Mus musculus: one gene and its partner. The protein of the gene in region 1 interacts with the protein of each later gene in a pairwise test. Links are inferred from orthologs where the notes say so. Each region holds a gene or a part of one and is shown in the gene's direction. Other genes may lie near its edges. The genes, in order: Brap and Numa1.

What was found.
Region 2: the proteins of Brap (region 1) and Numa1 interact in a two-hybrid assay, tested with the Homo sapiens proteins (2 studies listed by BioGRID and IntAct). The link is inferred for Mus musculus from reciprocal best matches to the Homo sapiens genes BRAP and NUMA1.

What each region holds. Positions count from the first base shown.
Region 1 is NC_000071.6:121,670,262-121,674,075, forward strand, and holds part of Brap (BRCA1-associated protein), read left to right. Parts: intron 1-1,823; coding exon 1,824-1,937; intron 1,938-3,814. UniProt on the Homo sapiens protein: Negatively regulates MAP kinase activation by limiting the formation of Raf/MEK complexes probably by inactivation of the KSR1 scaffold protein.
Region 2 is NC_000073.6:102,007,600-102,011,413, forward strand, and holds part of Numa1 (nuclear mitotic apparatus protein 1), read left to right. Parts: intron 1-1,491; coding exon 1,492-1,611; intron 1,612-1,694; coding exon 1,695-1,913; intron 1,914-2,017; coding exon 2,018-2,175; intron 2,176-3,233; coding exon 3,234-3,480; intron 3,481-3,814. UniProt on the Homo sapiens protein: Microtubule (MT)-binding protein that plays a role in the formation and maintenance of the spindle poles and the alignement and the segregation of chromosomes during mitotic cell division.

The sequences.
Region 1 (3,814 bases):
CTCCTTCCTCAGTAAGCACCTCAGCCTGTGAGATCTTCCTCCTCATCCAGGAATGTCTCTGGGGACACTGGAGGGTGGGGAGGCCTCTTCGTTGTCCCACAGCCAGCTCTACATATGTGAACTTAAAATTCACTGCCCCTTCAGTCAAACTACATCAGGATTGACCGCCCTTCTCGGGGCTGAGTTTAACCAATAGGCTTATGTGAAGAAAGCATAAATAAGCAAAAATCCAAAGTGCAGGTCTGGAGAGATGGCTCAGCAATCAAGAGTGCTGGCTGCTCTTGGAGGGGATCTTAGTTCAGTCTCTGACCAACCAGTTGGCAGTCATAACTGTAACCACACTTGATGGGGATCAGACGCCCTCTTCTGGCCTCCTCAGGCACTGCATGCATGTGGTACACACACATACAGGCAAAACACCCTCACACATAAAATAAAAATTAATGTAAATCTGTGAGCTTACATTACTGGAATGGAAGAAGAAACTGTTGTACTGTGGCTTTGAGATTGAGGGCCTGAGAAGGAGAGGCAGGAAGGATGCTTTGGTGGAACAGCCTTGATGGAAGAGAAAACAGTTTTGTTTTTGAGGAAGCTGTCCCCATCCCCTAAGCAGCTCGTCAGCATGAGTAGTGCTGGAGCAGGCGGCCTTCCTGTGTTTGGTCTGACGCCCCTGCCGGGACAAACTGAGTTTAGCACTGGAGTCGTCTTGTTGCTTTACACTAAGCCTGATCTGGTGTTGTTTTGCGTTACCTTCTCCACGTCTATTACAATTTATGCCACCATGAAAGAGCAGCTCAGTGTTGAAGGCTGGTTAGTCTGGGTTGTGAACTGCCACATGCGGAACTGAGCCCTGGATCTTTGTGAGAGCAGGCAGTGCTCTCTCACAGCCCCAGGCTAGGACACCTTGATCTGCACGAGGCATCCTGACAGGTGATTGGTGTGGAGTGCTTCCTCAGTCAACTGAAGATGAGCTGGCTTTTCATCCGTACTGCTCCTTATTCTTTAACAAGATGATAAGTTTGGGTTTTGTTGGTTTTTTTTTTGTTTTTTTTTTTTTTGTTTTTTTTTTGAGACAGGATTTCTCTGTGTTATCCTGGATGTCTTGGAACTCACTCTGTAGACCAGAATGATCTTGAACTCAGAGATCTGCCTGCCTCTGCCTCCCAAGTGCTGGGATTAAAGGCCTGTAGAAGGGTGCCCAACTTTTTTTCCTTTCTTTTTTTTTTTTTTCCTCAAATGAATGATGGTTCTTTAAGGGCATCATGTATGTATGTGTGTATGTATGTATGCTTGTATGTATTTATTTATTAGATGTATGTGAGTACACTGTAGTTGTCTTCAGGCACACTAGAAGAGGGCATCAGACCCCATTTCAGATGGTTCTGAGCCACCATGTGGTTGCTGGGAATTGAACTCAGGACCTCTGGAAGAGCAGTCAATGCTCTTAACCATCTCTTCACCCCTAGTCTTCGTCCCCTACTCCATTTTTTCCAATTTTTGTGTGACAGTTACAATTTAGTTCCAGAATTTTAAGAAGTATGTGTCTTCTTCCAAGTGCCTCAAAAATAATGACTACTGGGGAAAGAACTGTCCAGAAACTTGTAGACAGATGGCAGGTTGAATGTTCTCTGCTCAGCACATGGCACTACCTTCTGCCTTGTAAGGCAAACCTCTCAACAGCCTGGACACCGAGCTGCAGAGCTCTGTTGACTTGATGGCTCCAGAGCTTGCTGCTTCTATTGCAAATGTGTGGGGATGTGGGAATGGAGAGTGCATCTTCCATGACCAGCCTTTATTTTCCCCTCTCCCTATGGTATGCACAGGCTGATGCAGACAGTTTCTACATGGCGTGCAATGGCCGCCAGTTCAACTCAATCGAAGATGACGTCTGCCAGCTGGTCTATGTGGAAAGGGCTGAAGTGCTGAAATCTGAAGATGTAAGTGTGAAGTCTTCTTACATCTGATGAAATGTTGATCCGTACAGAATTGAATGTTAAGATGCTTGCCAAACATCAGGAATAGGCCTTCCTGTAAAGACTGAGAGTAGAAACAAGATGGGCTCTGGGGTCTGGGAGAAAAGGGGAGTGGGAGGGGCCAGCAAACAGATGTAGAGGTTCTTCTGGGCTAATGGATTGTTGACGGATGGTGGTGCGGGATGTAGGATGAATGGAGTAGTTAGCGTGGACATACTAAAATCCACCCAGTTTAAAATGGAGAGTCTTAGCACTGAATAGGGAGGGGCATGAATTCACAGGTGGTTTGGCAAGGTCAAAGCTAACACTGCAAGGTCCTTCTTAAAAAACAAACATACGAAAAAATGTTATATCTCAGTTTTTAAAGATTTATTTATTATTTATTTTATGTATATGAGTACATTGTAGCTATCTTCAGACACACCAGAAGAAGGTGTCAGATCTCATTACAGATGGTTGTGAGCCATCATGTGGTTGCTGGAAATTGAATCAGGTCCTCTGAAAGAGCAGTCAATGCTCTTAACCACTCAGACATCTTTCCTGCCCATTATATCTCTCATCTTTAAGATGTAGAAAACAGGTTTGGTAGCACATGCATGTGACCCTAGCACTCAGGAAGCAGAGGTAAGAGACTATTGAGTTGGAGGCCAACCTAGGCTATATAATAAGGTCCTGTCCCCAAATCAAAGAAAAGATTTCTGCCCTGTTAAAACTATCCCAGAACGATGGAGTACAGTTTGGAGCAGAAAGAAGCATATTTGTTCAAACTATTAACCCCAATCTCCATCCTAGCTTTTTGTTTTAGGGTTTCTCTGTGTAGCCCTGGCTGTCCTGAATCTTGCTGTGTAGACCATGCTAACCTTGAACTCACAGAAATTCATCTGCCTCTGCCTCCCTGGTACTAGTATTAAAGGCCTGTGCTACCATGCTTAGTTTTTTGTTTTGTTTGTTTAAGGCAGGCTGTCCTAGAACTCACTATGTAGAGTAGGATGGCCTCGAACTCATAGAGATCCTCCTGTCTCTGTCTCCTGAGTGCTAAGGTTCAGTCTTGCTGACTACATGTTCTGGCTCTCATCTGCAGCAGGGCAGCTCCCTCGGAGCCTGGCCTGTACTACTGGCTCACTAGGCCATTTATAGTAAATAGCAGACTTGGCTCTGGAGGCCAGAGAGCCTCCATGATGCTGTAAGATTCTCTTCCTTTTCAAGGAGATCTTAATAGCCAGGCTTTCTCACGATTTTAATCCTAGTATTTGAGGCAGAGGAAGGCAGATCTCTGAGTTTGAGTCCAATATCTCCTCTACAAATAGAGTTCCAGAACTGTCAGGGTTTCACACTCAGCAGATAAAGGTATTTCCTGCCACAGAGCCTGTGAACTGAGTTCAGTGCAGGGAACCCATGTGGGTAAAGGAGAGAACTAACTTGTGAACGTTGTTCTTGGGCTTCCACATGTGTGTAATACATGTACACACACACACACGTGCACACATATATTCTAAATATAATGTAACTTATTTTTTAATTAACTATTTTGTTTTTTTTTTTTTTCAAGACAGGGTTTCTCTGTGTATCCCTGGCTGTCCCGGAACTCCCTCTGTAGACCAGGCTAGTCTCGAACTCACAGAGATCAGCCTGCTTCTGCCTCCTGGGTGCTGGGATTAAAGGCATGTGCCACCACTCCCCAGCCCATAAAAATGTAATTAAAAAAAATTTAAAATAGACCCTAAACTAGACCCAGAAGCTGGCCGTAGTGATGTAGGCCTGGAATTTGAGCATTCAGGAGGTAGAGTCCAGAGGCTGAAGAGATGGCTTAGCACTTAAGCTGCTTCCTGCTCTTGTGGGGG
Region 2 (3,814 bases), on another chromosome or scaffold:
CTTGGGCCATGTTAGTTTGGGGCCAGAGCAGGAGCCTGGGGCTTGGGGGGGGGGGGGTTAGTTGCCCAAGAAACTATCCTGGGCCTCAGAAACATTGACTTTGTCTTCAGGAATCTCTCACAGAAAAGCCTTCTATTACAGCCACTATCCTTTTTAGTTTAAAAAAAAAAAAAAAAAAATCAAGGCATAGGTATAGTTCAGTGGTAGAGCACTAGTTCCTAGGTTCAGTTTCCAGTCCAGCACCTCAAAATGGGCGGGGGGTGGGGGGGGGCTTTTTTGTTTGTTTGTTTTTTTCGAGACAGGGTTTCTCCGTGTAGCTCTGGCTGTCCTGGAACTCACTTTGTAGACCAGGCTGGCCTCGAACTCAGAAATCTGCCTGCCTCTGCCTCCCGAGTGCTGGGGTTAAAGGCGTGCTCCACCACGCCTGGCTTGACATTTTTGTAGTTCTTGATTTACCCTAGTCACATTTTCCCAGTCAGTAGGTGAATGGCTAATGACAAGACAGAATAGGACCAATTCCTCCATCCCAGAAAGTTCTGTGGAAAAAAACTTTCCCCACCTTGGTAAGGGAGATAGGGTCTAATTATGCAGCCCAGAGCACTGGGATTACTTGGCATGTGCCATAATGACCAGCACTTAACACTTTTAATGCTTCTAATCTTGTTACCATCTTTGTTCCAGTGTTTGCTTTTTGTAGCTCTAAGCTTCCCATCCCTTAGTTAAGGGCAAAGGATCAGGGACTAGTTCCACTGGGACTGTGTAGCACATAGTGGGTCCCAGGTAGTGGATCTCTGAGCTTCCTTGCCCATGGACTGTTGAACAACAGTGAACAGTAAGTAGGTCCATCATGCTCCTTTTGAGGGTGGTTATGAGCTAGCAGATGTAGGAGAGTGTAGGTGGGATGCAGCCACCCAGTACCTGTAGTGAACAAAGCTGATACTGCAGGTTAACAGAATTACCTGCGAGCCTGCTCTTGAGGAGTTATGGTCCCCTTAGGAGGCAATGCTGGCATCGTAAGTGAACCAGCATCCACAGTTGTGGATTAGGTGGATGACCTTGGTCAGTTTGTCTAAATCTCTGATCTCTTTTTTCCTCTCTAAAACAAGGATAAAAGTTATTTCTTGGAGTGGTTTGGAGAAGTGAGTTCCTGACATTGACATGCATATGCAGTTGTCTCCCACTGTGCTCTCTATACCACGGTATTCTCTGAAGATCAGATTCTGTTCCCTTGGGAGAGATACTTGGTGCTTGGCCTCATATATGGCAGCAGAACTGTGAGACACATTAGAGCCAGCAGATGGTCTGGGAGGGAGAATGTAATTGTTTTGTAGGCTGCAGTTGGAGGGAATGTGTGTATTGGGCCAAGGTGTCCTAAGAGTCCTGAGACTATATTAGAGGAGTCTGCAGTACCTGTGGAGACTGAGCAGCAAGGGTAGGCCAGTGGGTTTGGGTAGAGTAATCAGAATTTCCTTGTTTTGATTGACTTCTCAGGCTTTCCAGGCCCAGAGAGGTGAAAGCCAGCAAGAGGTCCAGCGCCTCCAGACCCAGCTGAACGAGCTGCAGGCCCAGCTGAGCCAGAAGGAGCAGGCAGCTGAGCATTACAAGCTCCAGGTGAGGGGCCAGGAACGTCCTGCTCTGCCTTTCTTCCTGACCCTTTCTAGGCTCTGCCACACACACCCTGTCTGTCCACACAGATGGAGAAAGCCAAGACCCATTATGATGCCAAGAAGCAGCAGAACCAAAAGCTGCAGGAACAGCTTCAAGACTTGGAGGAACTGCAGAAGGAGAACAAGGAGCTGCGGTCTGAAGCTGAACGTCTGGGCCGTGAGCTGCAGCAGGCAGGGCTGAAGACCAAGGAAGCTGAACAGACCTGCCGTCACCTTACAGCCCAGGTGCGCAGCCTGGAGGCCCAGGTAAGAACCTACTTTAAACAGAAGCACCTCACCCCTGTACTGTTGTACTCCATATCTCCTCTCCAAGGCCACCCCTACTCTAGGCTTTTTATTTTACTTCCTAGGTTGCCCATGCAGACCAGCAGCTTCGTGACTTGGGCAAATTCCAGGTGGCAACTGATGCCTTAAAGAGCCGTGAGCCTCAAGTGAAACCCCAGCTGGACTTAAGTATTGACAGCCTGGATCTGAGTTTGGAGGAGGGAACCCCATGCAGTGTGGCTAGGTTAGGAGACATGCCTCTCTATCCTGTGCCTGTTCACTGAGTGTGCGCTGTTCTAGCCTGTGGTTCTTCTACGACAGATGCCTGCTTAGGGTACAGTAGAAGTGAAAAAGAGGTGAGGTGGGGCAGTTAGGAAAGCCTTGGGGGAAGCTTTTCTGAGTTTTGATAAACTGTACAGCTATGCAGAGGTGGATGAGCAGCCTTTAATGCGAGGCCAAGTAGGCCTGCGAGCCTAGAGGCTGACTGCACTAAAGACTGATAAACTTCAGAAGTGCTGAAATTGAGGACTACAGGTTGGATTTGCATCTTAGTTTCCTGACAGTATTGAAGTCAAAGGTTAGCAGTACAGTTACTGTTTCTATCAAATGTGTACTGTACTGTGTGCCAGTGTTCCCAGTTCTTGGAACAATTACAACTTCAGCTTTCTCCTAGCAACCATTTTAGGCTCTATTCATTATCTCTCCTTAAACAGATAGAATTGGGCTTTTGGGGGATCCACAGTGATAGAGCCAGGTCTGAGCCTGGCAGCCTGTCCTGAGTTCTTGCTTATCACTACTTTATAGTGTCTCATGGCAGTCTAGGTCTAGGTGAGATGAACTGAGGCTGAGGGAAGGGAGTGTGCAGCTAGGAGAGCTTCTTGGATGTTGACCATGGTTGTGTATGGTAGAAGATGTCCAATTACACCCATGTTCATGTGAAGGTGTCCCTACTTAGTAAAGTAGGAGATAGAGGAGGAAGAACATGCAGAGGGGTTTAGGGTAGGCCCCATTAATTGTCGAGCAGTTGTGGCATCTGCTGGGGGGGAGGTCTGGGCCCATAGCTGTCTGACCTGAAGAGCAGGGTTTGGGCTAAGGTAGAGAGATCTGAGAGCTGCTATAGGAAAGGGTTAGGAGCAGCCAAGAGTGGACTGTCAAGGCCCCCTTTTGCTATCTCTGAAAGACCAGTGGTACTGTATTTTACCACATTTACCTGTAATAAGATTAAGTCAGTTTGGGGCAAGGAGACAGACATAATGTCTTCTAGCTCAGGGTCTGCATCTCGGCAAATGTCTTTTGCTACAGCAAGCTGCCTCGTACCCAACCAGATGGTACCAGTGTCCCTGGAGAGCCAGCTTCACCTATCTCCCAGCGCCTGCCCCCCAAAGTGGAATCCCTGGAGAGCCTCTACTTCACCCCCACTCCTGCTCGGGGTCAGGCCCCCTTGGAGACTAGCCTTGACTCTCTGGGGGATGCCTTCCCTGACTCCGGCCGTAAGACCCGCTCTGCTCGCCGCCGTACCACACAAATCATCAACATCACTATGACCAAGGTTAGGTTATTGGGCATAGGACTATTGGATATTAACACCAGTTCCTTATCCAGGGCTCATAAATCAGGAACACTCAGGTATGAACAACATCTTTTAAAAGGGCATAGATTTGTTTATGGTCTCTTTTCTTCTTAGATTGATTTTATATATACAATTGCTCAGTTTTCATGCACATCAGAAGACTGAGTCAGATCCTATTACAGATGGTTGTGAGCCACCATGTGGTTGCTAGGAATTGAACTCAGCCAGAGTCCTCTCTCCTGTCTGACGGAAGACAGAGCAGGATAGAGGAAATAACAGCTCATTCCGAGCCTCTGGCACGCCATGCAGCCAG